Pelodiscus sinensis: one gene and its partner. The protein of the gene in region 1 purifies or fractionates together with the protein of each later gene. This does not show direct contact. Links are inferred from orthologs where the notes say so. Each region holds a gene or a part of one and is shown in the gene's direction. Other genes may lie near its edges.

Region 1 (16,450 bases):
TAGCATTAGATCCTTTTCACTGGGACCAGTCATTTCCACTGTTTATCATCAGAGATTCTTCCAGCATCTGTGGGATTCTCCTCACATAGAAGCTCAAATCTCATGGGATTTTAGGCTTCCTCTGAGAAGCACAGGAGGAACAAGGACCTAACGTGATGAATATGGTGTAGCATGTACTCCATTAGGAGACTTTGCAAAAGAAAACTTATTGAAAGCCCAACAGAACCAAGAAAGGCCTATAACCAAGGGACCGTCTATGAGAATTTAGACCTGTTTACCCAAGAATCCTGAGCCATTCTCATGGGAAAAGAGCTTCAATCAGAACAGACAGCCCAAATGTAGCAGCTTGTATTCTTCCCTGGAGTAGTTTCAGCCTTTGAGATGGTCCCATCTGGCTTATCTTTACCTACCTACACAGCAAGAATCAATTCTTGAAAACCCATGACCACTCCTGTGAAAGATGTGTGACACCATCTAAGAGGAGCCATGTTAGACCAAGGATACTGGAAGAATCTTGCAATGATAGTCAAGTCCCTTTGTGCTGGTACCAAAACAAAATGTGGTGATCTGCCTTTCTTATTTTAGAAAGGTAAATGCAATATTGAAGTTTGATGCTTATTAGAAAGACTAGGTTAGACCGCAATGAGCGGTACTGACAGACCCCACTGACATCAGTCTTAGGAAAAGACCACTTTCTCTGCCCCATCCATTCTGCACCAATTGTGAAATATGCCATTTTACCTTCATGGGGCAGCAGTCATTTTCACTGAGACATAGATGAAGTGCTGTAACTACATGGTCAATATGGGTATGTCTACACTGCACAGCTATTTCAGGATACCAGAGGTATCCTGAAATAGCTACCCCGTGTCTACACAAGCTGCCCACTATTTTGAAATATTTTTTTAATAGCATGCTGGTTATTTCACCATCCCAATAAACCTCATTGCACGAGGAATAAGGTATGGCTTGAAACAGCATGTTATTTTGAAATTTGGCACTATTTCAAAATTCAATTGAAATAAGATTATTCTGAGTTTAGGGTGCTGTGTAGATGCACTCTATGCTGTGGTATATGTAGATGACATTGTGATTTACAGCTGTCAATGGAACAATCACATATGACATGTCATTGCCATCCTACAGACTCTCAGGGGGGTCCAGGTTTCACTGTGAATTCAGGAAGGTATTCAGGATTCACTGTGAACCCAAGTAAGATGGCATAGTTATTTTAGCTATATCATAGGAAGGGGCAAGTTATGACCATTAATTTGCAAGCTATAGGCCATAGCAATTTGGACCATCTCGACAACAAAAAACAGATCTGACACTTTTTTTGGCCTAGCAGGCTATTATAGGCATTTTGTACCAGACTTTGCCATGGAGCACCCCTCATGGGCATTGTGAAGGAAGCCAGTCCTAGGAAAATTTTGTCTGGAGCCTGTGAGCATTTAGACTTGTCCTCCTGTGCTTCTAAAAGATTGTCTGTCAGGAGCCAGTAAAAATTTACTAAGATTTTTCCAAAAAGTTCACACTACTGATGCAGAACAGGTCTTTCCCAGGAAGTTGAAGGAGAGGAACACCCAATCTCCTATATAAGTAGAAAAGTGTTGCCCCAGGAAGAAGTCTATTCAGTTACAGAAAACTCTAAGGCCAGGGCTACACTAGCAGGCAATGTCAAATTAAGGTGCACAACTCCAGCCATGTGAATAGCGTTGCTGGAGTCAAAGTACCTTAGTCGGTGTTGATGTGAGAAACTCTCCCATCAATTCCCCTTATTCTTCTAGCTTCAGTGGAGTATTGGAGTAGATGGGTTTTTTACTAGACCTGCTAAGTTGATCCCTGCAGGGCTGATCTCCTGATAAGTGTAGAAAAGGCCTTTGCTGTGAAACAGCCCGTGGATGTCTTAAGATGCTATTTGTTGGCAAACCACTTCTCATTAGTAACTGACCACACAACTCTTCGCTCACTGAACATTATGAAAGATTCCAACCCAAGAATTATGCAGACATACTTCTCCTTACAAACATGACATTTTCAGGTATTCCACCGAGCTGGGAAAGCCCACCAAAACACTGATTTTTCCCCAAGAAGGAGGGGGACCAGAGAGTGGAGGACAAAACTCTGGGTCCCATATTGTGATGGGGCACACAAACCTCACATTGGAGAAGAGATAAAGGAGCTCTGGACCCAGATGGCTTCACCCTACCTCACCTGTAAAGCTGGAAACAGATTAAACAGGGAAGAAGAGCAGCTCTGAGGCAGGCAGTAGAAGGAAGTAGACCTGAGCTCTTGGATAGGAATACCCCAGGAGTTCTGGCTGCCTGAGACATGGAGACACTGACCTAACCAAGCCTTCACAGGAGGGACTAGTGAAATTTTAATTTTTATATTGAGTACTTCACATTGTGAAGGGAAGAGTAGACACTGGTAGGAAGTGATCCAGAGGCAGCTGCATAGTACCCCAAGGTGTATGTATTAGCTGTCTACCATTGGGGAGGCACCAGCCATTTAAACCACGTCTGACCCTCCAGCATTCCTCAAAAGTATTAATCACACCCCCATTTTTTAAGATAAAACCCACATGATGTAAATCATTGAGATGTGTCATTTTAGTGGGCAGAGAAAGCATATCCACATTTGGGTGTGGACTGCATTTTTGCAAAGCTTTATGCAGGAAAAAAAGAAACAGCAGCATAGACCTAGCCTAGAGTGTCTACATCAACCCGTCGATTGCAATCGACTTGTCGATTGGTAGGGCCCGACCAGTCGATCGTGAAGCGTTTGGGGGGGGCTCCCCATTTCTCCCCACCCCCAAGAAGCCTCACTGCCTACCTCCAGTGACAAGGGGGGTAGCGCCAGCTTCCTGAGGGGTGGATGGATGTCCTGCAGCTGTGCCTCACTTCTGGGGTTTCAGGAAGTACGCTGGCTGCTCCCCCTCCCCTAAACAGCCAGCAAGGTACCAGACCCAGGTCTGTGGCATGTTAGGGACTTCCTGCACGGCAGGGAGGTTGGAGTCCCTGGAGGAGGCACGTGCGGACTTCCTTCCTCTGTGCGGGCAGGAGGTGGTAGGAGTCCTCGGAGGAGGCGCATGCCGGGACGTGCTTCCCCTGTGTGTGTGGGGGGGAAGGGAGGTAGGAGTCCCCAGAGCAGTCAGCGTGCCCTGTGGGATGTGCTTCCCCTGTAGGGGGGAGGAAGCAGGAGTCCTCATAGGAGGCGAGTGCTGGGGACTCCCTGTTCCCTGCCCCCACCAACACCCTGTCCCCTGCTGCAGCACCCACTGGTAGCCTGCTACCTGCCCCACCAGCCTGTCCCCTACCCCCACCAACACCCTGAGCCCTACTATGGCACCCTGTCTCCTGCTTCAGCACCCACTGACACCCCATCCCCATCCCAAGCACCCTTCCCCAGTACCATGTCCCCTGCTCCCACCAGCACAGTTAGGGCCACATTAGTGAGGCTCGGGGGGCATTTGGAAGAGGGGTTTTTTTTTTTTGCATCTCACTTATGTGGCCCTGACTGACTTTTCTGTGGGTCAGTGACCTCAACTCAAAACAAGTTTTCCCCCCCCTTCTCATAAATAGGGACAATGCTGAAACCTTTATGTTTGACCTATTTTATTTAAAAATGAAGCCAGGCCAACAAACCCCCAATTGGGGCTAAGCCCCCATCTTCCCACAGCATCATAACGCTCCTGTACGCCCTGCCCCCTCCCCCCCAGGCCCTAGATCTCAGCCTATCATACACTGGAACCCTCTATCCTGAGCCTCTCATATTCCCAAACTCCTGCACCCCCACATCCCCAGTCTTCTGCCACGACACTTCTGCACCGTCCACACACTGCAGATCTGTCCTGACCCCATCATACGCCCAACCTCCGTGCCCTGAGCCTCTCACATCCCCCAACCCAAACTCCTGCACCCTCACATCCACAAACCTGTGGCTTGCTCAGTTCCCTAACCCTTCACCTGACCCTAACACTATCCAGCCTGGAGTCTCTTCCCTGAACCAGCATCCCCTTCTCCACCTCCTCCTGCATCCAAATTCCCTCCCAGATCTTGCACCTCTCACTCCTTCCCACACCCAAATCCCTTATTCCTACCCCAGAGCCCCCACACTGTCTCAACCCAGTGAGTGTACAGCTAAGCTGCTGGAGTTTTTCTGGGATTCCAGAGGTATCCTGGAAAAACTCTTCCACATCCAGGGACACATTTGTCCTGCTTTTTTTTAGCGGAAGAGCAAACACACTCTTTCAGCAACCCCTGTATTCCCTGTTCCACGAGGAATAAGGGGGCTTCCGATAGAAGGTTTTTTTCTGACATTTGGCCCAGTCTAGACAGGCCAAATGTTGGAAAAACCTCTTCCTATAGAAGAATCGGGGTGGGGGGAAGCAGCAGTGTAGCCATAGCCTGAGAGTGTATAAGGGCCAGGGATAGCAAATGTTGGAGAGAAGAACAGAGAGGGTGGTGCTTCAAGGAAGGGGTAGAGTCTTGGGGGAAGGATGGGGCGGAAGGATGGCTTGTTCTGATATTTAATAAGTGATCTTGGGTGTAAAAAGGTTGGAGACCATTGATCTACATCATAGGAATAGTTACTAATCATGAGCCTGACCTGATGAACTGCTCAACTTGCAGGGAAATAATGAGAAGTTAAGGCTGCTTAATATCTGCTAAATCAGGCCCTAGAATACTAGAAAGGTATTACATGGATCACTATTTGTGGGATATTGAGTGGCTCCTGAGAAGTGGAATCAGAACTTCTAACTTTTGCTGACTTCAATGGGAATTGTGTTTTCATCAGGTCATGAAGTCCCAGAAATGCACAGAATTTAGTAAGCACTTAAATGTTTCTTTCAGACCATTTGTAGGAAAGTGTTGACAAAGCAGTGGTATTTACAGTTTTGTTCACTCTGGGCTTGATCCTGAACATATGTTGTAACAATATGGTTTTTCTGTCACCATGTTGGAAGGCCTGTAACCATATTGGTAAGCCTGAACCAAAGCCTTCTTCTGCAGCTAGAGTGGAGAGCAGTAGCAATTAGCTGTAAGGCCTAGAGTCACACACTCACATTCCACTAAATGAAACAAACAGGACTATGTAGCACTTTAAAGACTAACAAGATGAGCTTTCGTGGGCCAGACCCACTTCCTCAGATCAAATAGTGGAAGAAAATTTGCATGATCTGGCCCATGAAAGCTCATCACCTAATAAGCCATCTTGTTAGTCTTTAAAGTGCTACATAGTCCTGTTTTTGTTTCAGCTAGACCAACTAACACAGCTACATTTCTATCACTATTCCACTAAATTGAATTAAAATAGTGTCACACCAGGCTGTGAGAAGGGGATTTTGTCCTAATAGCCCCCCCACTGTTACCAGATAAAGAAACAGATTTCAAGATGGGTAAAGAAAACTTAAGTTAACACCATTCTGTCTGGCAAGAAACTACTTATCAATAGTTGAGGTTGTGGAATCCGCACTCTATGATTATTGTCATCGCTTTCCTTTTGTTTGTCTATGCAATCTCTGTCTGGTTTGTAACTGTTTCTGTCTGTGGTATAATCAGTTTTGCTAGGTGTAAATCAATTAAGGTGGTGGGGTATGATTGGTTGGGAAATTCTGTTATGATTGGTTAGTAAAATTATACTAAAATAATTGGTTAAGGTATAGTTAAGCAGGACTCAGGTTTCATTTATATAAACTGGGGTCCAAAAAGTAATAGGAGCAGAAGGCAAGAACAACAACAGGGAAACAAGAACAGGAGGGAACACCAAGAAGAAGGGGAAGAAGACCTGGAAAAACTACTCACCTCCAAGACGTAGCCTAAGACCAAAGCTGCCAGGATTCTCCTGCATGACAGTGATGTGCAGCAACTAAGATCCAGAGAGACTGATCTTGCCTGGCCAACAGAGGAAGTCTGCCTACCTATATCAGGATTGGTGACCATGACGCTGTGTGCTTAGCATGTGTATTCTGCTTGTTTGGAAATAGTAAACGGAATAAGAATATTACTGTGTTAGGATCTTTTAGTGGCTAAAGGTCCTGGAAACCTGCAGGAAATTCCACCCTGAGCCCTAGGAATTGGGTAAGGGTGAGTGTGTAAATTAACAGGATTGCATCTTGATCCCTAAAACTAGGTAAAGGTGTGTGTCCCTACAGTGTGGAAGGGATAGAGAAATTTGTGCGGATAACAATGAGACAACTCCCATTGACTGTAATGATGCAGGATCAGCCTCTTATGTAATTAATGTGCACAGTACTCGTTCTGCTGAGTATTGGTGTCCTGCCTCTCTGTAAAATTTTATTATTTATATAATTGTAAAGCTCACAATGTGCTAGACACTATCTCAAAGAAAGATCTAGGCTCCAACCTACGAAGGTTAACATTTAAGGCTGTAAGAGTCCAAATTGAGCTGCAGATCACTGCATCTATACAGAGCTCTACTGATTTTAATAGAGCTCTGCATAGGACTAGGATCTACCTCTATAGATCTTCCACTATTTGATCTGAGGAAGTGGGTCTGGCCCACGAAAGCTCATCATCTAATAAACCATCTTGTTAGTCTTTAAAGTGCTACATAGTCCTGTATTTTGTTTCAGCTACACCAGACTAACATGGCTACATTTCTATCACTCCTCTATAGATCAGATACCTATGACTAAGAAAAATGCTTAAGGTCTGTTGTTTTAAATCCTAAACCTACAAAAAAATTTCCCTGAGTAACCCTATAAAATTTAGTAGCAAAATTAAGCATCTGCACCAATGGTTGCAGGACTGAGGTCTTAATTAGGATCAGCTGTCTCCCAAACTGCCCTTTCACTTTAGTCAATGACTAGTTCACTAATTTCTTGTAAGGCACATGGAAGAAGTGTGCCTTGAGGACAGATTTAAAGGAAAAGAGAAGTGGCCTGTGAAATGAATATGCTTGATATAAACAAATAGATGACAGGTGTTAGATATAATGAACCTGTGTATTACTCAAGAGAATTTTAACTTTTATATGGAATGCCTTAGAGTGTGGAAGTGAAGGCAGATGTTCCTAGAATCTATATTTTTTGGAAAATAAATTTTGTGCATGATTTTTTTAATGTACGAGTAAATTATATATAAACACAATTTTTTGATTGGAAGTTATGCAACATAGGGACAATCAGTGCTAATTTATATGAAAATTAGGAAACTGATCTGTGAACTAAGATGCAGGCTATTTTGTCACCATGAGGTTTTAGGTTCTCAAGTGTATTATAAGCAGTCAGATTTGGCTCCAGGATTTCTGATGCTCTAAGCAAATTGGCATCCCCTCTAAGCCTGCAGTCTCTACCCATTTAGCTGCCTTGAAAGCTTTGCTACTTTTAGGCAATCACCTCTTCATCAATGATGGGAGCAGCTGTGAGGGCAATACAGTTGTTAAATCTGATTCTGCAGACCCTTATGCATGTTTACATTTATGCCTAAAGTTAAACACATGTAGAAGTATCTGCATAGTGAGGGTCTTAAGCCAGTATCTTCATTTTTTGCAGAACTGGTTCTGCTAGAATTATTACTATTATTTTAGCATAATATGCAATATAGCAAAGATGGGATGATTAATTTTTTTTGAAAAACCCACCTGACAGGCAAGCTCTTGCTCTTTTTTTTTTATTTTAATTTTAAATAAAGCTGTCTATGAACTTCAGCCTCGGGAGAGCTTCATTCAAATCAATTAATCAGTCAGCCTCTCCAGTGACTAGCTTTCTGGAGACAAAAGTCAAAATAGGATTTGAGAGTGAGTTTTGCATTTTTATGTTAATTTCTTTCTTCAGTTCTAGCTGTCTTACATCACAGTGCAATCCTGGTTTCTTGTTCTCCTAGCCAATTTAAGAGTTCAAGGTGCAAAGACTAGCAGAATGAGGCCCTTATATTACAAAGATCTATCCTGGAAAGAAATATATAAAGGGAAATTATATGTCAATTAGACCTTCTGCTACTTTCATCCCTCAATCCTCTAAACAGTTATGCATATGCCTAATATTATTAATTAGGCTAGCCCATATGATTTCAACAGATTACTTACAGTTCAAGCACCTGTATGTCTGCAGAATCAGGATTCTGCAAGTAGCTGAATAACCTCAACTTCAATTAGATGGGTTGAGGTCAATGGTCACTCTAAATTTTTCCTGTGTACGGAATATATTTTGTTATGTGCACCAAGGCACGTACAGTTGTGCACCACCAATAGAAACACAGACTGCCAGTTATGGGCACTCTGCCAATCAACTGGGTAGCATTTGAATCTCTCCGGGGTAGCCGCCCAAGCACACAGCTTACAGGAAACACTGGTAGGGAGTAAAGATGTTAGAGTGGTTATTTTGCTAATTGTGTAGTAGATACAATTTGTATTGACTACACGATTAGTCAATAAGGGGAGCTGCTCTGCAAAGCCACAGTGGGGATAGCTTCTGAAGCTGATGCAAGTCAGGACTTAGCAGTCCTGGCTTGCACCAGCTCTGGACTGCTGCAGCTCTGCATTTTAAACATAGTAAGTGCCTTTTGGCCCACATGCTCAGGGGCTGCTCCGGCAGTAGCCCCTGTCTGAGGCTGGCCCTGGGTGCGGTAAACAGAAAAATGTCTGCCTGCAGCCAACCTGGGCCACTGCAGATAGGAGCTGCTTTGTGGCAGCAGCCCCTCTCCCTGGCGGGGCAGCTACCTGCTGAGACCCCCACAGATGGGGCTGCTGCTGGAGCAGGCTCTGCCCATGGCAACCCATCAACCTGCCATGGGCAGAAGCTGCCTCTGATAGAGGCAGTGGCGGTGGGGTGGAGGCAGCACCAGGAAGACAATGCTGTGGGCAAGTAGCTTTTAAGTCAGCCCCGCCCCGCCTCTCATACAGAGGCAGCAAGTGTGTGGGGGGGAGCAAATAGTTGAGTTCTCTATTACCTGATAAACTTAACCTTATAGGGTAGTGCAATACTGGACTACTTGCTTACATCCCTAAATTGGGAGTGCTCCGCATCTTTTTGGTGCTGACAGTACAGTGGGGATTGTGTGAGATTTAGGTGAACACACTATTCAGCTTGCTTGGTGGACTCCTGAACAATGGGTCCCCTCTGTGCACCAGCAAATAAGGTTACTCACAATAAGGTGCAATATCTTATTTCACAAGTAGTCCTACTGACTTAAGAGGTGCTAATTATGATGTAAGATACTGTTCAGAATCAGTTAAGAGTATCACAAATGTGTGTGGGGTAAACAAAAATGAGCCCTTGTTTAATTCCCCACTTGCCATGCTACTGAAAAAAGTTAAATAAAGTTACACATAAATGTAACATTCCCCCCCCCCCAAAAAAACTTTACACTTGAAGACATGTAGCCTAACACAGTCTTTGAGCACTGAAACATATATGTATGTGAACTGTTGCTAAATCTCCCCCTGAGGAGGTGATGAGTGTGGCCTGGGGCCCTTGATCCTGCTGCTGCTGGAGGAGGCGGTGGCTGCTGGGGTAGCACAGCTGTTACAGTGCAGCACTGGTCCCTCCTCCCAGCTGCGGCTGCCTCATCTCCCCCCACCCAGCCCGTCCCTCCCCTCCGCCGCTCCCGACGCTGCTGCTGCCGCCGCGGCCGCTGCCACCTCCTCCTCCCCACCCCCACCCTCTCTCTCGCTCCCCATCTCTCTCTGTCCCGTTCCCCGCTTCCCCCGCCTCTCTCCGCCCTGCCGCCGGCGGCCCTGGCAGCGCAGGCACCGCAGGGGGATCTCAATGTAACACCATGACAGGCATCGCCGCCGCCTCCTTCTTCTCCAATACCTGCAGGTTCGGGGGCTGCGGGCTCCACTTCCCAAGCCTGGCTGAGCTCATCGAGCACATTGAGGACAACCACATCGGTGAGTGGCCGGCAGCGGGACCCCCGCCGCAGCGCTGGGGCGGGCTGCATGTGCAGGGGGCGTGTGTGGGGGGGTGCATGCCGTGCACGGGCAGGGCGGAGGAGAAGGTGCCGGGGCGGCTGCATACTGGGCATGGGCGTGTTCGGGGGCGCGGGAGGCGGCATGGCCCGGCGTGGGGAGGCAGGGGGGGCACGAGGGGCTGCGGACGGGGGCGGCGCTGCAGCGGGGAGTGAGTTTGCCTTGGCAGGAGGCAGTGCGGGAGCCGGAGGCGGCGCGGGGAGGGGGAGGAGGACGGGCACGGCACGCCGCCTGCTGCTTCCGCCCCGGCTCTGGCTGTCAGGGCTCCGGGGAGGGAGCCGCGGCGGCAGCCATTCCGCTTCCTCCTCCTCGCCGCTGCTGCGTCCTGTCAGCGCTGTTGCTAGGTGTGGTGGGGAGGATGGGGCGCTGCCCGCCCGCGGCAGCCTCGCTGCCCTGAAGGCGCCTCTCCAGGGAGGAAGGGTGGCGGGGAGGCCGGCGGCCGGGTGGGCGTGGAGGACCCCGCCGCCGGCGGGGGTGGAGGCTAAGCGACGGCGGCGGCTGCAGGGGCGAGGTCTGCGTGCGCCTGGTGCCGTGCCCGGGGTCGGCAGACGCCGTGCGACTCCGGCAGCCGGGGGAGAAGGCACCCCCCGGTGCAGCGCGGGCGGGGATTCTGCTGCTGCCATTTGCTGCTGAGCCGAGGCCAGGCCTCGGAGCGGCTCCCGCCGGGGTTCTGGGGCTGGCGCTGCGCCTGTCTGGTCATCACCTGTGGGGTCGCTCGCTCGCTCCCCTCCCCCCCCCCTCCGTGCACCGTGTTGCTCAGACAAGCGCTTTCAACAAGTCCCCTGCCCTGGATGCCACGCTCCCGAATTCGCCGTGAAGATCCGCCCTGCGCTCGCTCCGAGGGGAGTGGGGGCAGGGATTATGCCCAGTGCATTATGCAGCAGGGGGTGGGGTGATGACTCGTCACTCTGTTGCCTTCGGGAGGCTGCCCCTGGCTTTGCATCTCCACGCAGCAAGTTTGCAGTAATGGGCAGGTATGAATGGGTGAGGGCTGCCCCGGGAATCGACATGCTATGCAAAGCCAAAAGTTAACATGAATAAAAAGTTTTTTTTAAAAAAAAAATTCTTCCTGTTAACACGTGAGCAGATGAGAAAATATGAGGCCTACATTCTATAGATGCTAAACTCTGTTTTTGAAAAAAGCGTAAGAAAAATCCAGCAAGTCGGCTGTGGGTTTTTTTTGAGAATCCCTGTGTGGAATCAAAATGCAGGACAATGTAGCACTTTAAAGACTAACAAGATGGTTTATTAGATGATGAGCTTTCGTGGGCCAGACCCACTTCCTCAGATCTTACATTCCCTGTGTGGAATGTAAGAGTTAATACTTGAATAGGGGGAAAAAGTGGGTAAGTGGTGAGAGACACCAGCTTTCACGCTTATTCAGAGTTTGAAAGTTTCTTTGTCACCAATAGCAGTTGGTCAAAAGATTTTACCTCACCCACCGTATTTGCTAGTATGTTGAAACTGACACAGCTACATGTTATAGTGACTTTTAGGCTACCCTTCTGTGTAACTGCTTTGTTGAATTTTATTAACAGAATATAAATTAAGCTGTCAAATATAATTTTCTTCAAAGTAGAAATTTGACAGATTAGTGACTAGTGATTCATTTTGATGTGATAAGAGTACTATATTATAAAGAAGGTGTAAATAACTACATTTGCTATCATTCAGTAAATATATAAATGAGCCTTATGCCATTATACAGTGATGAAACATACATGCTGTTCCATTTTATGACTTCTTTAATAGGCAGGCCAAACATTTGAACAAATAATTGAAATTGTTATGAAGTAATAAACTTTTAAAAATTAGATTAAACTGCATTAAGAAAGTGTTAAATGCAATTTAAATCACAGAACAGGAAATTCCAAAGTATGGTTCCCATAACCATACATTTTTGCATATGTGATAAAATAATGTACAAACAGCAATTCTCTTTTAGGTTTAGCATACCACATCTCAAACTAAAAAAATACCTAGTGTACTCTTATTATAATCTCAATCTATGTTGTTATAATGGATTCTCATTTTGGAACTATACTATAATGCAGTAATTTTAATCTTTGTCTATAGTGTGTAAGCCATGTTACACGAGGAAAAAGTTTTGGGTCATCACAATAAGACATAGGTAAAGCGAAGATTGTCATGATTGCCCTAACCCATTTGAATTTGTTTGCATCCTCCCAGATTGGGAAGCCATGCTATAAACCAGGCCTGGGCAAAATACCTTCTGTGGGATGGATCCAGCCTGCAAAACCACCGGATCCAGCCTGTGGATGCAGCAGGGAGCCTTAGGCAGACTCCCTTTTTGCCCTGCCCCCAAAACAGCTGAGAAAAGTAGCTGCTTCATCTGTGAGCCCAGTGGAGGCAGGAGCAGTCCTTAACATGCTGCATGCACATCTAGCATAATCCCATTGGCCAATTTCTGGCCAATGGGAGCTGCCTTTTTGAAGAACAGGCAGCCCAAAGCACCACTTTCCACCCCCTCCCCTCAGGCTCATATTGACCAACTCATGTGGCCCCTGCAGCCTGTGCGGGGGCAGGGCAGGCAGGGAACCTGCCTGAGAAATGTCCTGGACTGCTGGCTGGGATTCACCCATGTAAGTCTCCCTGCCAGAGCCTGCCTCTGGCGCTCTAGTCCCTCCCTTTCTCCAACCCTCTCCCTTCCCACTCCTTCCTCTCTACCCTACATAAACCAAATCCTCTGTCTTGCTCCTGAACCCATATCCCACTCAGACCCTGTACCCATGCCCCTGCCCTAGGTCACGACCCAAACCCCTGCACCCCCTCCTGTACCCCAGTTCCCTGCTCCAGGTCACAACCCAAACTCTTGCACCCCAGTCCAATGCCCCAGGTCAGAACTGTCTCCTTCACCCAAACTCCCTCCCAGACCCCACTTACTCCCTGCAGCCAAATCCCTTACCCCAAGCTCCCTTCTGCACCCAACTTCCATCCCAGACCCTGCACTTCCTCCATTAACATCATGGATGAGTACAGCCCTTGATCACTTTCCAAAATCTTGGAGTAAAAAATTATTGCCCTCCCCTGCTATAATCCAAGCCACACATCATTTTTGGGCCTGCAGACCACAATAAGAGAACCACTGATGTACAAGTGTACAGAATTATTTCATATGCATGAAGGGAACGGCTGAGTTACATTAGGAATCTATATATTTAATTTGTTAATATTTGTACACTTAAAATTAATGTTACTTTGATATATATTTATATGTAATGCTTTTATTTTCTAAAAGAAAATTGCAGTGGATCACATATTAGATATCCATTTATACATTAATATGAGCATGTGATATGACACTGCTTTGACTACATTTATTTGAAGGTTCTTCTGTATGGGATTACACAAGCAAATAACAGTACGCAAGTTTGTGGAAAATGGCATATAGTGCTTGTGATTTTCAAACATCTTTAATGGTTTTCTACAAATGTGCGCATTTTTTTTTCCTGTATGTAAGCCAGCGAATCACTGCATGGGCTCAGAAGTCTGTCCATGCTGAGTTTGGTGTGGAATTGGATCTTAAGTGGATTTCTAGTTTTATATTTTAAAAATACATCCTATCAGAGGTGAGCCAGTAAAATCAACTGGAAACATTTTAACTTGGTGAAGAATTCTGAGCTAAATTCAAGCTCAGTGTAAGATTCTGCAACTTCATTGAAGTCAGGGCTTAGTTTGATTTTGTTATTCCCTCAAGTGTATATAGATGCAATGCATAGTAAAGTCATTGAGAGTTACAACTGTTAAACTGAGTCACAATTCTTCTATCACACTAAGACTTTATAAGCTCTTCCACATGAGCAAGACCCCATTACATTCATGGAGCTGCTTGGGAAAAATCCTAACAAAACTTTCAGAACTTCCTAAAACTTTTCCATTTTATCATGAGAAAGTTCAGCTGAAAGGGAAATTTTTGAAAGGTGAAAATGGGGAGCCTATGAAAACTGTGTTCACATTGTGTGCTGTGAGCACAATACTGTAATATTCTCTGAGTGATTTTTGTCATGTTGATATAAAACCAGGAAGGGATTCATTTTGGACATATAGAGAACATGGTAATATTTTTTTTAAGACTAAATGATGATTTTGAAGACTTCTTTGTACTTTTCTGTAAAAATAAAAACAATAGAAATAGATTTGATTGTGGTGTTAGTTTAAAAAAACTGTCTTGGACAATAGTTATGCAAACAGTTAAGGTTTATTGTTAGTTTACAGTTGGTCCTGCAATCTGCTTTGTGTGGACGGATCCTTACAACATGGAATCCCATTGCTTTGCCCAAATGAATCAGATTGCAACATTGGGGTCTTTAAACATAACACGTGATTCTGACAGTTTCTGTTTTCAGAGTTAGAATGAATCTTGACTATTAACAAAATATGATTGATTTGAATTTATTAATTTGCACTGTATGTAAAAGAGGGAAAAGGACAAAATAAGTATTTTAATTCTTCAATGCTACTTAAGGGTCAGTTTTTCCCACCAATATTCATAGAGTAAGGTGCAATATACTGTGATTAAGAACAGCTTTTATATACAGGCAGTCCCTGGGTTACGTACAAGATAGGGACTGTAGGTTTGTTCTTAAGTTGAATCTGTATGTAAGTCGGAACTGGCATCCAGATTCAGCCGCTGCTGAAACTGATCAGTTTCAACAGCGGCTGAATCTGGACACCAGTTCCGACTTACATACAGATTCAACTTAAGAACCCCAGGCGTCCCCAAGTCAGCTGCTGCTGAAACTGATCAGCAGCTGATTCCAGGAAGCCCGGGGCAGAGCAACTCTGCCTCGGGCTTCCTGTTGTCAGCCGCTGGTCAGTTTCAGCAGCGGCTGACTTGGGGACGCCTGGGGCAGAGCAGCTGGGGTGCTGCCGGGTTGGTCCAGTAGCGCCAAGGAGCGGTGCTGCGGGACCAACCGGCAGCGCCCCACCTGCTCTACCACAGGCCCTGGGCTTTGCTCCACGACTCCCTGGTCTGCTGGGGGGGGCACTAGCTGATCTGGAAGCGCCGTGGGTCCGGCCCTGGGTCCTCCGCCGCTTTGCTCAACGTCTCCCTGGTCTGCAGACCAGGGAGATGCTGAGCAAAGCGGCGGAGGACCCGGGGCCGGACTCGCGACCCTTCCAGATCAGCGCCGTGGGTCCGGCCCGGGTCCTCCGCTGCTTTGCTCCCCGTCTCCCTGGTCTGCTGGCTTCCCTAGCAGACCAGGGAGACGGGGAGCAGCTTTTCTCGCCCCGGAGGAGGCGGGCGGCGGGACCAGGTGTCCCGCCGCTCCAGTCCTCCGGGGCAAGAAAATCCCCGTTCGTAACTGCGGATCCGACATAAGTCGGATCCACGTAACTCGGGGACTGCCTGTATAAACTGGCCTGTATGTTTTGGCACCAAAATTCCCCAGTAACATTTTTTTACCTTCAAGTGTCAGTGGATGACGTTTTTGAGAGATTCTGTAGTTGTTTTACTTAGAAATACAAAATTCCTCCATGTGACAAATGTGACAAACTTGATATCTATCAATGGACTTCTGTAGAGCCTTAATGTTCACTTTATGTATTAGATACAACCTATACCAAGCATTGCCATCTCTTTATGTGGTTGGCAGGTGAAGAATAATTAAACTCACATTTGGTGCCACAGACTCATCCCAATATATACCAAATCTGCAATCTAATATTTAAGAATCTATGGTGGAACCTTCTGGCTTGGTTAGGCTTTGTCAAAAATAGTTCTCAGGCCTACCAAAGGGACCCCATGCACTCCTTGTTGTAAAGGAACCAAATTCTGTGGGAACAACCCCTCCATTGCACAGCATTAACTTATTCTGTTGCCATAACAGATAACCCTCATTCCCATTTTCTGCCTCCATTTTCTGCCTACAGTTCCTAGATAGAGATGATGTAAAATTCATCAGATTCTTTTCTATGATAATTATTTTGAGAGAGCTTGCCATTACCCAGTAGGCTTTAGCTTTCATGACATTGTCCAGACTCCGAGCCTCTTTGCCCAGGAAGCATAGATGATGGAAAGTGCAGGCAACGGAGGGTTGCAGCCTGGTTTGTGGGAGAATCTTCTTGTCTCTTGGGGTTTGGCTTCAATGCAGGCAACCCAGCTCACTAATCTACATGTTTGACTTTTCTGTACACTAACTAGATGCTTAATTTCAGCTGTTATTCCTTGATCTGTGGAATGACACAGAGCAAGGACTGTAATCCAATGAACTCCCCTTTTTGGGTGTGCAGGGGAATGAAGAGCAGCTACAGGCGGGTCCCAGCAGGGCAGGAAGACAAAGAATAAAATGTGCAGGGCTTGGCTTGAGCACAAAGGCAGACTCCACAGGAAACATGGCTGGTATTGTGGTCTTATAAATTGTATTAGCTTTGCGGAAGGTAGGAATATGTGGTAAAGGAACAGATACATTACTGTATGCAGCCTTTCCTTTTGCAGAGCAGTCCTTAAATTCATTTTGATTTTCTGATGCAGATTTAAACTTCATTTTATGGT
Region 2 (16,248 bases), on another chromosome or scaffold:
GTAAGAAAAAACAATAAGCAATACTACCAATGAGATTCTATAAAATATAAAACTAAGTATTGCATAGAACCGCGTTTCTCAAACTGTGGGTCCAGACACCCTCCCTCCCCCGTGGGGGGTCGGGAGCAACTTAAAAGGAGGTCACAAGCAATTTAGAGGGGGGGGGTCGCAGTATCACAAAGTTTGAGAACCCCTGGCATAGAACATTTGGCAGAAAGCATGTTCTGAGGACACATGCTGTAGCTGTATAAGTGTCATTTAATTAATCTTTCCTATTCATAAATTCTGAAGGGATTTTTCATTAAACAATCTCTAGCTGTATGCGTTCTAAGGATGTTAACTAGTGGTTAATTGACGAGTCGAGTAGTCGATGGAATTTCCATCAACTACTCGACTAGTCAGAAGGCACTTGTATATTTCAAAGGAGGAATGCAGAACTCCACATGCAGCCCCAGTCCAGCAGGAAGTCCTGCTGACTCCAGGCTGCATGCAGATGCCAGCTTTGAAATGCAGAAGAGCCCCAGCAGGATACTGGGGGCAGCGCAGAGCCTGGCACAGCCTTGGACGGGGGCAGTTAGGCCGCAGACGAGGGGGAGTGGCAGAGGGAGAGAATGGACCCCGGATGGCAAGGCCGGGGCGGGGAAGAGAGAAAAAAGGACTTGGGTTGGGGCACCCTGGAGCAGTGCAGGGGGAGTGCAGAAAGGGCCCAGGCTGGTGTGCCTCAGGAGAGAGGGAGTGGAAAAAGGGCCTGGGCTGGCACTGCTGAGGGCATGAGGAAGAGAAAAAGGGCCCGGGCTAGTGCGGCTTGGGAGGAGGAGGTGGGGGAGGAGAGAGGAAAAAGGGCCTGGGGTGGCGCAGCTCAGGGGGGGGTGAAGAGAAAGGGCAAAGGCTGGCGTGGCCGCAGCCCAGCCCTCCCCAGTGGCCAGGCAGAGCGCCAGGGGTTGCCTACCCCACGGGAGGGGGGAAGGGGCGAGCGTAGCAAGGAGGGGGTACAGCCCCCTAGTTTGTCTGATATGCAGAAATGGTTTAAAAGATACCTTTTGGTCTGCTGTGCTCTCAAGCAATATTAGTAATCTATTTACAGAACTCAAATCTATGAAATAATGTATTTTACCACATAGCCCAGGAGTCCAAATTCAATATCCTTCTTTCGATAGTCACCCTGACCCTAGGATTTAAAGTTAAATAATAAATAAATAAATAAATGAAATGCCTGTGTATTCAACTGTACAATGAGGACAGACCTTTCTGGTCCCCATATTAGTTCATACCCTAAAGCATAAGAATTGATTAAACATTTTCCAACCAAATACAATTATTTTACTTACTATTGATCATAAAAATATTTAACTTTTAAAAAAATATCTGCACTATGTAACTATGTGACCCTTGTCAACACAAGTACCCTCTTAGTACACTCAGCCACAAGTGCATAGGGAACCCCTGTACTGACATACAAAAATGTTCTGTATAAATACATAAAGAGGTATGTGTAACTCTGGGGCATGCCGAAGTCTTCTGCATCAACTCATCTAGATATTTGCTTAGTTTTACAAGAGGCTACATAAAAAAGCACTGAGTCTGTACAAACTAAAATTCCATACAAAGATTTGCTTATACAGGCAGTCCCCGGGTTACATGGATCCAACTTACATCGGATCCCTACTTACAAACGGGGTGAGGCAACCCCGCACTAGCTGCTTCCCCCCAGCAGACCAGAGAGACGCGGAGCGGCTTTTCTCAGCAGACACCTTAGCTTGAGAATAAAGGACTGAGGGAAGTGAGGTGTGGGAGAATAAAACTGAGCTCTGGAGAAATGTTTGGCTAGAGTTTCCCCTACAATATGTACCAGTTCCGACTTACATACAAATTCAACTTAAGAACAAACCTACAGTCCCTATCTTGTACGTAACCCGGGGACTGCCTGTACTGCTCTAAATACTATACACTGGAAAAAGTAGCACAATATTAATACATAACATAACATAAGAACAGCCGAACTGGGTCAGACCAAAGGTCCTTCTAGCCCAGTATCCTGTCTGCCGACAGCGGCCAGCACCAGGTGCCCCAGAGAGGGTTGACCGAAGACAATGATCAAGTGATTTGTCTCCTGCCTCTGACAAACAGAGGCCAATGACACCATTTTATCCCCTGGCTAATAGCCTTTTATGGACCTAACCTCCATGAAATTATCTAGCTTCTCTTTAAACTCTATTATAGTCCTATAATATTCCAGTTGTTTCATATTATATGCTAAGAATGAGAAAGTAAGCAATTTTTTGTTAACAGTGCACTGAGACATTTATAATTTGGTAAATTTTCTAAGCAGGTAGTTTAAGTGAGATGAAACTTGGGGGTACACAAGACAAATCAGACTCCTGAAAGGGATACAATAATCTAGAAAAGAGATCCTGCAATACTGTCACAACATTTAGTGCATCATCCAGTTCTAGAGCCCATAATGATCTTACCTATTCAGGACCATAGTGGGGTAAGATTTCTATACTGATGCAACAATTAAATTTAGCTGAGTGACACCTGTTCTCATATTATGGAAGATTTAATATAGTTTCCATAATCTTTTAAAATCTCCTTTTTCATGTACACTATTTAGTAAAGCATCTCCCACTCCTTAGTATGAATTAGCAAGATTCTACTTCTTCCTTTCAAGTATTACTGGCATTATCAAAGAATACTATTCTTATACATTAAGCATTTTTTTTTAATTGAACAGAATTTTTTCATATGAAGCCTGAGGAGACACGAAAATTTGCTTAATAAATGTTGATTTTACCAATCTAATATATATTTGAGTGTGTGTGTGTGTGGGTTTGTTTCTTGGAGAACTCCTAGATGGTAAAAGCTAGGACCAAATTTGGTATACAGCTTCCTGTTACCATAACTCAAAGCAGCCTAAGGGTTTGGTTGTGCCTGGAATGGGATTGCTTCTCATAAAACCATACAGAAAAGAGACAATTACCAGACAAGTGAAGGGCTGGCCAGGACACTCCTTCCCATCCAAAAATGCCCCGCCCAAAGCCTCTCCACATCCTAGCGCCCTTTAGGGAGGGTAGAAAGGACTGAAACCCTCTTACCCGGATTCATATGAAGCACAGTACTGGCTGTTCCCATTCATCAGGGAGCAAGGGGAAAGTGCATAGCTTGCTGCCTCCCTCACTCTGGCTGTGGAGGACAGGGGTAGGCTAGCTGTGCACTTTACTCTCACTCCCTGACAGGAGGAGCCAGAGAAGCAAGAAGCCCTGGTACGATTTTTTTTTTTGGGGGGGGGGGGGAGAGGGGAGGGAGAAGGGAGCCTTTGCCCTCCCCACATTCTCTCCTCCCACACAGTCCCCTGTCCAGAACCCCTCCTCATCCCCCAACCCTGACTCCTGCTCCCACCACATTTCCAGCTCCCTACCCTGAGCCTCTCCATAAAACCCCAGGCAACATCGGGTAAATATGCTAGTTTCTAAATAAAAAAAAAAAAGGAGTGCCCCCCCCATAACATATATCCCTTACTTATGGTTTAGGAGCTTATTAACCAAGACTTTCACACACTTAAGCTATTTAAGTAAGAATGCAACAGTGAATAATTTTTTTAACAGTAAATATTATTGGAGGGGGGGGGTTATAGACCTGCTCCCAGGAAGAAAAAAAAAGCTACATAGCACAATGTAGCATCTTCAAAACTGTAATCAGACCCCCAGCTGGTTGTTAATTCAATACCAGAATATTAGAAATCTCACCCAATATTGCTCCAAAAATTATATCACCAAGATCAAAGAATGCATTTTTGCTAATAAAAAGGTTAGCTCAACATTTCAATTTGCCACTGTTTATGTGAAAACCAACAAGGCATGTCCGTGTGTGGGCTTTAAGATATAATCTTTTGAGTAAAGGCTGCCTATTGTACTTCCCAGAGACTTCAGTGAGTTTTACTCAAGTAAAAGCCACAGTTATGAGCCTGAAGTACATGCCTTTGGTGACTGTTAAGCATAAAACAGGCAGAAATGTTTAAAAGTATTCAAGAAACAAGAATCTTGCAGATTTAAATTTGGTATCTGTGTTCGAGAGAGGCAAACTTCCTAACTACAAAGCCAAGAGGCTGACAATATAGTAAAACAGCACACTATTATTATTTCTCAGGACCCATAGCTATTGATCATATGCACAAACTGGAAAAGAAAAAAAAAGACACCATTCTTGCACCAATGTAAGGATAAGCCAAGAGATAACATATTGATGATAGACAGACAGACCGAAAGGGCAAGTAGCAAGGAAATAATGAGACAAGTGATCAGCCATAGAGTACAATAAAATAAATCAACTTGAGTTAAATGGATAAAATACTCTTAGAACCAAACTAAGAGTATCAATACAGGGATTGCACCAGTTTAACTTAATCAGTTTCAAAGCCAATTTATTTAAACCTGTATAATTTGTTCATGTGACAGGCCTTTATTAAAGCTTTTCCATCATAACTAAAACTTCACAAAAAAACAAAAATCCCTCTCTCCTCATTAAACCCTCTTAAATGGGATTTTACATCCCTAGTAAACTGGTTAACCAGTTAAATGTAATTAAAGATGGGGGGGGCATGCCAGCCCAACTGGGCTGTAGCAGCTCCCCCTCCCCCCGACAGGTACTGTACAAACAGTAGTTTCTTGACTACTTTTAAGCATTTTGCTTTTTCTTTTATGCTGAACAGTGCAGCAAAGACATGTACCTCAGACTCATAACTATAGCTTTTACTGGAGCAAAACTCTCACTTTAGTCACTCCTGTGGTGCACCCAGGATGGACTGCTGCAGATAGGGGCTTCTCCAGCCAGCTGAAGTGCTCTTTTCCCATAGTGGGCTCTGAGAGGCTGAAACAGCCCCCAACCTGTGATGGGCAGAGAGCTGCTCCAGCCTCCATCAGTTAACCGGAACCAGTAAGCCTAACCCATTAACCATTCACATCCCTTATTCTCCACCCCAAAAAATGACAACCCATTTTGAAGCAGATACTTGTATAAATAGTGATGTAAGAAGTCTAAGAGTCCACTAGAGAACCTCCAGACAAATTTAGTTTACTTGAGAAGCACTTGAATATTGTGATAAATGTACATTTCAGAAATGGTAAAACACTTTCTAACCACATGCCAGTTGTATCAAATGACATTTATGAAATGGTAGGGCTTTTCCAAACTAGGCCTCCCTTGTAAAGTTCACAAATACCTCTCTCCATAACCAAGGCCAAATTTTTTGAAAGACTGATATTTAAATGGAGAAACAGCAACCAATACATACTTGCACAAGCAGAACCACAATAGTCACTATATTTGTTTTACTAAGTACTAATATTCTACTCTTAAGTCTAGTTCTATTATCTGATTTTATCTGAAATACCTTTTACAAAAATACTTAAATATCTTCTCCAGGTCCTAATGATTTTAAGCTTCACATAGAATATTTACATGTTAAAAGGTAAGCTTCTAGATTTGTAGTTAACTATAAATCATATTTTAAAAGTTCACTTTAAAAAAATAATTCTTCTCCACACCAGTTATTATAAAAATAAATTAAATACACACTGGCTATTTTTTGAAGATTTTACTTTATGTTTATTCATTACTATACACAAGATGTCTTTCTGCTATGACATCCAAAATCTTGGTGAACAGAAGAAGAGTGAACTATTAATCCAGGAGTCTAGCCTGAGACGCATGATTCTACAAGTATTGGCCTCTTCACTGAAGAGAAAAACTACCTGTGCCTTATCTCTACTAGGATTTTAAAAGAGAACTCACTATAAAATCTCCTTTTTGGCTGTCAAGACATAGCCTTTGAAGGTTTCATAAGCAAACTCTATGCTGATTAAAAGCACAGGGCACCTCCTTCAACTGTTTTCACTAGTAAAAAAAATAATTTCCCAATATAAATATCTCATTGTAATGGCACATTTTTACTGATGAAAACACATCATGGGAGTATGTCTACAGTTAACTCATGCTCATTTAGATGTATGTCAGCTAGTTTTAATGTTGCAAGCAGGAGTACCAACAGCAGTGAAGCCATGACAGCACAAATTGCAGTGCAGGCTACCTATCTTACTAACCAGAACCAAGCATTCCTTTCAGGTTTATACGGTCTGCACTGAAGTTTGTGCTGCTGCAGTTTCACTGTAAGTGATACTGCTGTTAAGGCTGGTCTATGCAAAAATACTACAATGCGTCAGTGAAGACACTACCTTCATAGAAGGGAGGAGTTCTCCTGTTAGCATACATAACCCATTTATCCCAGAGATAGAAGCTAGGTTTACGGAATAATTTTCCCTTCCACTTAGTGTGGTCTACTCTGGGCAGTATTTCGCTATGTGCTTATGCTGCCCCTCAGGAGAAATTCACATGCGAGCTAGGTGATTAGCAGTGCACCCACAACTAAGCTTTAGGTTTCCAATGGTGTACATGTGCACATACTTTGCATATAAAAGTTATTCCGCACATGGATGGAAAAAAATCCACACACCAATTAAAAAGATTAGTGGGAATATTGCTCTGTGGGTTAGGTCAGTTTAACTGTGTCACTCAGGAGTGTGGATTTTTCATACTCCTGGGCAGCAAAGTTATACTGACATAAATACCTAGTATACTGCCCTAGACCAGTGGTGGGCAAATACCGGACCACAGGCTAGATCCAGACTGATGGGGTTAGTTCCTGGCACTCACATTGGCTGGGAATGGTGATTTGTGGCCAATGAGAGCTGCAATCACCAATACCTAGAGGTGCAGTAACTATAGCAGCAGCCCAGCAGGGACTAACCCTGGAGGTCCTCTGCCTTTTTATTGCCCACCCCTGCCCTAGACTCAAGTTATTTTGAGTACATCTACCCATGCTGCAGTCACACCTCTAATTCCTGTGTATAAGCCACAGGGTAAAGCTTTGAGGAGCATCCACACAGACTTTACACATAACCGACCTTAAATTAAAAGGCAATTACCTCAAAGTAGAAGATTATACACAAGCCTCACGGGTCAGGAGGAAAACAATGACTGACCACAGAACTTGACTGGGATAAAGGGTTTCTCCTCACAGTAAAGTAATAAGGTTTGGAGGAGAGTAATCTCCATGTCTAAGCTATCTTCTGTGACCTCTCCCTACCACAATAACTTCGGGGGAGGGGAATAAACGCGTCTGCTCACTCTCCCCTCACTAAGAGACAAAAGGAGGCCGCACAGTTTTCCAGTCTGAGCTCCAGCAGCACAGCATCGTCCCAGCAATGCCGGGGGCGAAGGTAAGGGACGGTGGCGGGAAAGCGCCGTTCCTGCCCCCGGGGCCGGCTGGAACGCTGGTGTGTGAGCGTTCCATCCAGGCACTCAGGTAGCCCCTCCCCGCCGCTGCCGTCCCCCGGCCCCGCCCCGCGAGGATGGAGGAGGGGGCCGTGGCCGGCGTGGGGCTGGGAAGAGGAAGCGGGGAAACGCTCCCAGGCGGCAGCAGCGGCAGGCGGGGTCACGAACTCTGACCTTTCACAGGGGCACGGCGCAAAACCAAAACAACCCCCCCCCCCCATAACAAATAATACTAACCCGAGCACCCCTCCCCCCGCCCTCTCCGGGCCGTCGCCTGGCACCGCTGCCCAACAGGCCCGGTCGGACCCGGGTCACCGTCGGGGCACATTTGGCGCCAAAGTCTGAGGTAAATGTTTTTACTAAATAAAAATACCCCGCGCTGGCTGATCGTAACGGGCCGGGCGGCGGGAATGGAGTCGGGCCAAGCCGCTCCAAGGGAAAAGAGAACGCCCGGTTTAAACGGCCAGAGTCCAGCCCTGCGGGCCCCTTGTTCGGCCTCCGGGGGCCCGTGGTAGTTGAGCGCCGACCGTGCCTAGGCCTGGCTGGGCTCGCAGGCCGCTTCGGGAAAGGGTCTCTGGGAATAGCTGGGCCGATCGAGTCCGAGTCCGCTTCGGAGCCGCTTGGCGGGGTCCGGCCCGCCTAGGTTCCGAGTCGGTCCGGCATGCGGGCGAGCAGCGTGCTTTCCGGGCGGGCTGCGGGAGAAGGGGTCTGGCCACGGCGCGGAGGAACCCTGGCCACACACAGGGAAGATGGAGTCTGAGCGGGCGGAGGCGGCGGCTTGAACCCGACCCTTTTACCTTTGCCACCGGGAGGGCGGAGGGGAGGGGGCGGTGGGTACTTTGCATACGGGGCCGGGACCGCCGCCATCTTACCGGCCGCTCCCCCATGGCAGGGCCGGGCCCTTCGGAACTCGACAGAGCTCACACCGGAGGGAAAGGGGGGGGTCTAATGGCGTCGGCTCCGCCTGGGACTTGGCTGTCAGCCAGCACCGCCATCTTGTGTTTTTCCGCGGTGTCCCTCGAGTGTTTTTCTTCTTAGACGGGAGGCGGGCTAAGCGGCCTAACGGGCATACCCGTTAACCAATCCGCTCCTTGGGGGCGGGCCTTTTCGCCTTAACTTGTGCCGATTGGTTAGATCAGGGGGCGGGGTTTCCTGTTGGGTTCAGAGAAAAATTGCTCTGTGCGGCTCTCACGCCAGGGGGCGTGGGAAGGGCTGGGAGCGCGGCGCCCATTGGTCTCGGGGCACAGAGTGTAGTGACCGGCGGCGCTGGAGCTGCGGTCATCAGTGCGGGAGGAGGTCTATGGCGCTTGCTGCGAGCTGGGTCTCCTGGGCTCCTAGGAGCCAGGCAGCATGTGGGGCTGGCTCAACACTTGGATCCTGAGGCGCAGTTGGCTGAAGTGCTTCTGGGATGCGGGGTTGTTATCCACGGACCGCTCCTGCCGAGCCTGGCGTTGAGATGTTAGCCTGGGTTTACAGCGTTGGCCTTTCCCTCGCTAATTGTCCTTTCCCTGGGTCCTGCACTGCAACCTGGCCATAGGATTTTTATTTCCTTCCTGCGCCAAGTAGTCAGTTTACCTGACTCCTGTAGTATTCCCGGACACGCTGTAATCGGGTTTCCCCTAACTGAGAAGAACTTTGATAGTGTGTTTGATTCCTTGGGACCTATAGGCTCAGATCCCAGCATTGCTGGACTTGGTTGTACCTTCCCGAAATGACACAGCTTCACTTCGCCCCAGTGCAATAAATGAAGAGTATTTCACCTCAGAGCTTGTGATTGCTTTCTTCTCAGAGTAATGATTTTGTTGCCTTTTTGGTAGAACAAATTTTACACCAGTGCCTTGGCCAACCTATGTTCTTTGCTGTGTAATAAATTGGCTGTTTCTTTCAGTTCTGTGGAGAGGGTGTTACAGTGTTGTATAGAAGTATTTTGCAAAGCAAGGTGGGATCTGTCACAATGAAGGGTGTCACAACTGTAGACTGGGAAGATAAAAGGAAGAAGGTGTAGATAGAAAATAAGTGACCTTTTATTCAGTGTATACAGTTCCTGATTACTTGTTTTATTTAGCAGATATAATTTTTATTAAATACAGCAGCACCAGAATCTCCACTATATGGTTAAAAAAACAACGGGAGAGAAGAGAGGAGGAGGGAAATTGCATCCCTTGAAACAAAACCAAGCCCACGAGACCTTGTCTGGTATTCAAACCATCTTTCATTTTTGTTACAGAACTAAACTAAACAAAATATGATATTTATTATTCCTGAGCTAAAGAAATCCTCCTTGCCTGAGGATGTTGTGAAGCCCAGGACTTGAAGGCTATGCCTATGCAACAGTGTTATATCAGAATAACTGACATGTCAGTCTTCTCCCCTCAAAAAAAAAAAAAAAAATCACCCAGTCTCTCTGGGTCTGAATCTGTCTTGATGGCTTATTTGATCTCCCAAAGAGTTCATGCCCTCCTTTTTGTGTACCCATTTACATGAACCAATGAGTCTGGGTTCATCGATTAATCTTAATGGTTATATGAAGCCCCCTTCCTCTGATACAGAGGTAGCAGCGCAGGGAGGGAAGCAGCAGCAGACAGGAGCCAGTGCATGTGGGGAGTGGCAGAATGATGCTGGGCCAGACATTTTTACATTCTGAATTTGAAGATGAACTATGAAATCATGGTGCCATTGAAGTCAGTGGAAAGCTTCCATAGACTTTAATGAGGCCATGGCTTCATTTGAAATGTGTTGGAAAGGGCAAACTTTAGTCAGCTGTTTCAGCTAACCATTGATAGACCATGCTCACCAGGCTTGAACAGTGTTTACACAAAATGGTGCTGAAACAGATTTGTTCTTTGAGCTTACTGCTTCACAATATTCAGCTGTAACTTAGGGCTGTTAGCAGCTAATCAACTAGTTGGCTAGTCTCTTTCCCCAACCCCTTGCTGCCTCTATCAGAAAGAAGCAGCAAGGAAGGGAGAAGAAAACGGGGTGCTGGGGGAGCCAGTTTAAAAGCTCTGTGGGAGGAGGCAGGGGTGTAGTGGAAGCATTTGGCCTTTGAAATGTACAGGAGTCTCCACCAGGGCACTTGTACATTGCAAAGTGGAAGCATGGCATGGAACCTGGGGCCAGTGGGGGACCCTAAGTCTCCTGTTGGCACCAGGTTGTATACAGTGTTTCAGTCGTGTGGCACTTCCGCCTTTGAAATGTAGCAACAACCTGGCAGACTCTTGCTACATTTCAAAGCAGAAGTGCCCTTATCGACTAATCGATGGAAATTCCAACTCTGATTAGTTGATTAATCTAAATTTAACATCCCTACTGCAACTGTTGCAAACAACTGTCATCTATTTCATAGTGCAGGTTGCAACCTCTGACAACTGGTACTCTCTGATCCAGCAACATCCATGGTCCGACAAGACCTCGGATGCTCCTGAACCAGAGAGCCTAAAGGCAGGAGGGCCAGTAGCCGGGGGCAGTGCTTGGCCAGGAACCAGAGAATCCCAGCAGCACGCATCAGGGTGGAGCTGGGAAATTGCAGAACTAGGGGCCAGAGAAGTCCAGCCACCCATGGCAGTGCGGGGCTGGGGAAACGTGGCTGCATGCAGCAGCATGGGCCAGAGCCAGAGAGTCCTGGCCACCAAAGGCAGTCTGGGGCTGGGATTGGCAGCCATAATGTGTGGGGGTTGGAGGACAGAGTCAGAGGGCCAGCTGGCTTGGGGAAGGGAACCCCTCCCCTGGACCAGCAGATTTTGTTGACTGGTCCCAATCATGCCAGACCACGGATATCCAACCTGTATCAGCAGGTCCCAAAGCCCTCATGCTATCAACACATTCACTTTTGCATACACAGTAAATACAACATTAAAATAACCAGTTATAGTTTGGTATATTTAAGGAGTTTCTCTTTTCATCAGAAAATTTAAATCCATCCCACAATCTATTTACAGCATAATATTGTATGGCTGACTGTGGTAGAGTCCCTGATCAGGCCCCTTGGTCTGGTACACCGGCTGGTCCACAAATCAGTCGACAAGCCTTCTGGTGCAGTCACCCGTCCCTTTTATTGTAAGTTCCCACCACCGGCTATGTACAAAGTTTACAGTCTAGACAGCTCCTCTCTCTAACTGAGAGCATGCTGAGCCACACCCTGGCTCCTTCCCCCCTTTCTTCCTCCGGCCCTCCCTCTGCCTTATATAGCCTTCCTTCTGTGAGGCCCACAGCTGCTTCTGATAGCCCTGAAGGTCTGGGCTTGCTCAGCTGTTTCCCCTTAGCCAGGCTACCCTGGCAGAGCTCTGGCTTCGCCAGCAGTCTGTCACACTCCTCCCCACTTATGAAGTGTCAGGTTTGGGCCTGCCTCTCCTTAACACACTCTGCCCCTGGGGCTGGCTTTTCCCCTTTTTTTCCCTTGGGGAGTTGTTCCTTGCCCTGGGGTTCCACCCTCCCTGGGCCATTCTGGCCCTTACTAAGGGGGGGGTCTCCCTTCTGGGCAAATCCCCACATGTGTACAAACCCTCCCTTGGAGCTTTTCCAGGGGGCTCTTTTATTCCCTCCCCATGAAAGTCACAGTGGAAAGGGCCAGGCCCGAATTTTTCAGGCATTGCCCACAGGTGTTCACACCACCCGCAGCCTTGTTGTGGCCTTTCCTCCAATACAGCTCTAACCTGCACTGGGGGGGGGGGGGGGAGGGGCGAGGAGGGGGAGATCAGGGTTGGTCTCCTCTTTGTGCTGCACTATCTTCCCCCACCAGGATTGATGTCTCTACTTCTGGGGACAGCTCTGGGCAGCAATCCACTTGTGCCTCATCTCCCTGAGAGGGAGAAGGGCTACCCATTACCACCAGACTTGCTTCCCACCTTTCTGTCCCTACCGGACTGGGATACCACCCAACTACGTGACCTAGTTCCTCACACCTGTAGCACCAATGGCTATGCCTCTGTCTCCCTTGGGGGAATTCTTGACCTTCCTTGAGGCTCCCCTCTTGCTCTCTGTGGCAGATTGGTCCCAGTCCTGACCTACCACCATTGGATACGGTAACTGGTCCATTACCCTCACCCACTTCCACCGGAACGGCCTCTCAGTTCCAGTGGCACCTGGGCAGGACCTCTTGTCCCCATGGACACATTCTAGTGCCACCTTTACTCCAGGGAGAATCCAGTGTGAGCGAGTGGGCCGATGCAGTCCATTAGCCCTCGCTGGGCCTTTCTCCTCACCCGGATCTGGACAGTGGGCAGACACTGCCTCCTGTCAGGTCCTCTGATCTGAATCACCCTGCAGAACCCCACATGTCCACAATCCATACGGTCCAGGCAGTCCTGCTTTCTATGCCCTGGCATCCCACATTGCCAGCTGGTCATAGTGCCAGCCCCCACAGTTGCTCCTCGAGGTGACTCCCTCCTCTCTGGACCTCTCAGAAAGGGGCTCCTCTGGCTTTCTCCCTGATTCCTTGTCCCTAGAGGGTTGGCCTTCTCTCCGGGGAACCTTTGCCTCTACATACTTCTCCACCAACCTAACCGCTGCATTAAGTGTGTCAGGCTGGTGGCACCTAACCCACACAGACACTCTCCCGAGGGGCTTGAGGCAACTGCTCGAGAATGAGCGAGTCCAGTATTTCTTGCACCATCTGTGCCTCTGGCCTCAGCCAACGGGTTGCCCAGTCTAGTAGCTTTTGGGCCTCACATCTGCGGTCCATCAAGCTGACAAATTTCTTCTGCTGGTACTTTTCTGTGGACAGACCCACCTGGTCCAAAAGGGCTGCTCTTACTGCCTCATAACTATGGGCTTGGTCATCCTCCAAGGCCACATAGGCCGCTTGAGCCTCTCCTGCCAGGTAGGGAGCCAGATGCAGGGCCCAGGTAGGCCATCCTATCTAGCATCCATGGCTGCCCACCCAAATGTCCTCAAAAATGAATCCAGGTCATCTGCTGGCTCCATTTTAGAGTCCCAGGCCTGGCGGCCGGGTACCATCCTCTTCCCCAGGACTCGCCAGTTTTTCAGGAGTTGCTGCTGCTGCACTTTGCTCTGCTCTTTTATAAATTCCTGCAGGCTTGCTGCTGCTCTGCCTGCCAGGTTAGCAAAGCATGTCTCTCTGCCTGGTGGGACTGCTGAAAACTTTGCAGGGCCTGCTGCACTTTCTCTTGCTACTTGACCAGCCATTGCAAGGTCTCCTCCATTTCTGGGCCACCAACCACATTCGCTGGTGCTGCACCCCACTCCTGGTACCACATGTGGCAGAGTCCCCACTCAGGCACCTGGGTCTGGTCCATCGGCTAGTCCACAAATCAGTCAACAAGCCATCTGGTGCAGTCACCCATGCCTTTTATTGTAACTTCCCACTCCCTTCTAGGTACTAGAAGTTAGCCAGCTCATCTCTCTACCTGGGCACAAACTATGCCACTCCTTCTTCCCCCTGTGGCTTGCTTCCTCCGCCTTATATAGCTCTCCTTCTGTGAGGCCCACAGCTGCTTCTGATAGCCCTGCAGGCCTGGGCTTACTCAGCTGTTTTCCCTTAGTCAGGCTACGGTAGCAGAGCTCTGGCTTAGCCAGCAGTCTGTCACACTGACATATTAGCTAGCTACACTGGAATATAATTCATCACATTACTTACGATTCAAACTCATAATACTATAATAAACTGATGCAAAAAAATTTATAATTCATACTGTAAATATGGATATGCAGTTACAAAAAGGTGTTATCTTCTGTTGGGATAGTAATTGACTTGTCACCACTGTTCCACATAGTGTCTGGCATCTAGTTTGAGGAATTGAATTGCTTTAATAACCAGGAAGAGTCCACTAAAATTAAGGTCATGACCTTCTCCAATATGACTGAAGATGAAAAATCAGAAATGTTTATTTTCACATTCTTAGTTGTCATGTTCTGCCAGGGACTTTTATTACTAGTAGTCAATTTTATGCTTGACTAAGGTACATAATAATTGTCTGTAAAAACATAGTATAAATATTACTGGAAAACTGGAACATATCTCTCCTTCCTTAAATATCCATTTCCAATTCCTCCAATTTGTTAAATAGTAGTAGAGAGGTAGCTGTGTTAGTCTGATATTGCTAAAACAAAAAGAAAAACTATGTAGCACTTCAAAGACTAACACAATGGTTTAATAGGTGATGAGCTTTCGTGGGCCAGACCCACTTCCTCAGATCATATTCTGAAAGAGAATTGGCATGACCATATATACAGTAAAACTCCGGTGGTCCGGCATCCAGTGGTCCGGTACACCTGATGGTCCGGCACCAACTGCAACCCGGAAGTGCTCCGGCAGCTGCTTCAAGTTGTTAGAGTAATTGATTAACTGCGGCTGGATCCACAGCCAACACGCAGTTAATGTAACTTTCCTCTCTACTGCCGGGAGGGGGGGGGCCAGGGGAAGGTAGGGGTCGGTGGGAGAGGGGGAGCAGGAGGGGGCGAAGGTGTGCCAAAGCAGACGCATTCAGGACGTTCTGGTCAGTTACAGTCACTCCGGCTGGATCAACAGCCGACACGCAGTTAATGTAATTTTCCTCTCTACTGCCGGGGGGGGGGGGGGGGGGGGGCAGGGGAAGGTAGGGGTTGGTGGGAGAGGGGAAGGGAGAGGAGGAGGGGGCGAGGGTGTGCCAAAGCAGCCGCTTTCAGGACGTTCTGGTCAGTTACAGTCACTCCGGCTGGATCCACAGCCGACACGCAGTTAATGTAATTTTCCTCTCTACTGCTGGGAGGGGGGGGCAGGGGAAGGTAGGGGTCAGTGGGAGACCCCTCTTCCTTTCCCTCCCCCTCTCCCACTGACCCCTATCTTCCCCTGCCCCCCCCTCCCGGCAGTAGAGAGGAAAATTACATTAACTGTGTGTCGGCTGTTGATCCAGCCGGAGTGACTGTAACTGACCAGAACGTCCTGAAAGCGGCTGCTTTGGCACACCCTCGTCCCCTCCTCCTCTCCCTTCCCCTCTCCCACCAACCCCTACCTTCCCCTGCCCCCCTCCTACCGGCAGTAGAGAGGAAATTACATTAATTGCGTGTCGGCTGTGGATCCAGCCGGAGTGACTGTAACTGACCAGAACATCCTAAATGCGGCTGCCTGCCTGTCACGGCCTCTCCTCTTCCGCTCGCAGGCTCTGCCTCCCTGCAGCAGGAGGGAGGGTTTGGCACACCCCCACCCCCTCCTCCACTTCTCCTTCGACGAGACCCGCCCCTGCCAGAGTACCTCCTGATAGTCCGGCATTTCTGATAATCCGGCACCACCTGGGTCCCAAGGGTGCCGGATTATCAGAAGTCTACTGTATCAAAGGAATACAAGGAAAAAAGTGAACACATTATTAAACTGACAAATCAGATTTAGAACAGAAGGTGGGGCGAGGGAGAGGGAGGGAGGGAATAGCTGTTTATAAGTCAATGAATGACTAATGGGGGTGATAAGTGGGAAAGGTGTCTTTATGATGTGTAAGGTAATTAGCATCTTTGTTAAGGCCCATTCGTAAAGTGTCAAATTTAAGCATGAATGAAAGTTCTGAAGTTTCTCTCTGTAATCTGGTGTTAAAGTCTTTTTGAAGTAAGATGCACGTAGTAAGGTCGTTAAAACTCTGTCCAGGTATGCTGTAATGCAAACTGACAGGTTTTTCCTTGTGAAGATGTCTGATTTGTGGGCATTAATTCTTTGACGAAGTTTCTGAGAAGTCTGTCCAATCAATATACATAGCAGAAGGACACTGTTGGCACATGATGGCATAAATTATATTTCTAGATGAACAGGAATATGTGTCTTTGATCATATAACTGACATGGTTAAGTCCAGTGATGGTGTCACCGGAGTAAATATGTGAACAAAGTTGGCAACGGGGTTTGTTGCAAGGGAAGGTTACAGGGTTGGTATTAATGTGGTATGTCCTGTGGTTGTTGGTAAGAATCTTCCTGAGGTTAGGTGGTTATCTATAGGAG

Evidence for each region.
Region 2: the proteins of JAZF1 (region 1) and NR2C2 purify together in Homo sapiens (affinity purification with mass spectrometry; 4 studies listed by BioGRID and IntAct, with this or other methods). This does not show direct contact. The link is inferred for Pelodiscus sinensis from reciprocal best matches to the Homo sapiens genes JAZF1 and NR2C2.

Annotation. Positions count from the first base shown.
Region 1 is NC_134712.1:195,789,225-195,805,674, forward strand, and holds the start of JAZF1 (juxtaposed with another zinc finger protein 1), read left to right. Parts: upstream 1-9,597; 5' UTR 9,598-9,743; coding exon 9,744-9,858; intron 9,859-16,450. UniProt on the Homo sapiens protein: Acts as a transcriptional corepressor of orphan nuclear receptor NR2C2. Inhibits expression of the gluconeogenesis enzyme PCK2 through inhibition of NR2C2 activity.
Region 2 is NC_134721.1:20,679,253-20,695,500, reverse strand, and holds the start of NR2C2 (nuclear receptor subfamily 2 group C member 2), read left to right. Parts: upstream 1-7,424; 5' UTR 7,425-7,675; intron 7,676-16,248. UniProt on the Homo sapiens protein: Orphan nuclear receptor that can act as a repressor or activator of transcription.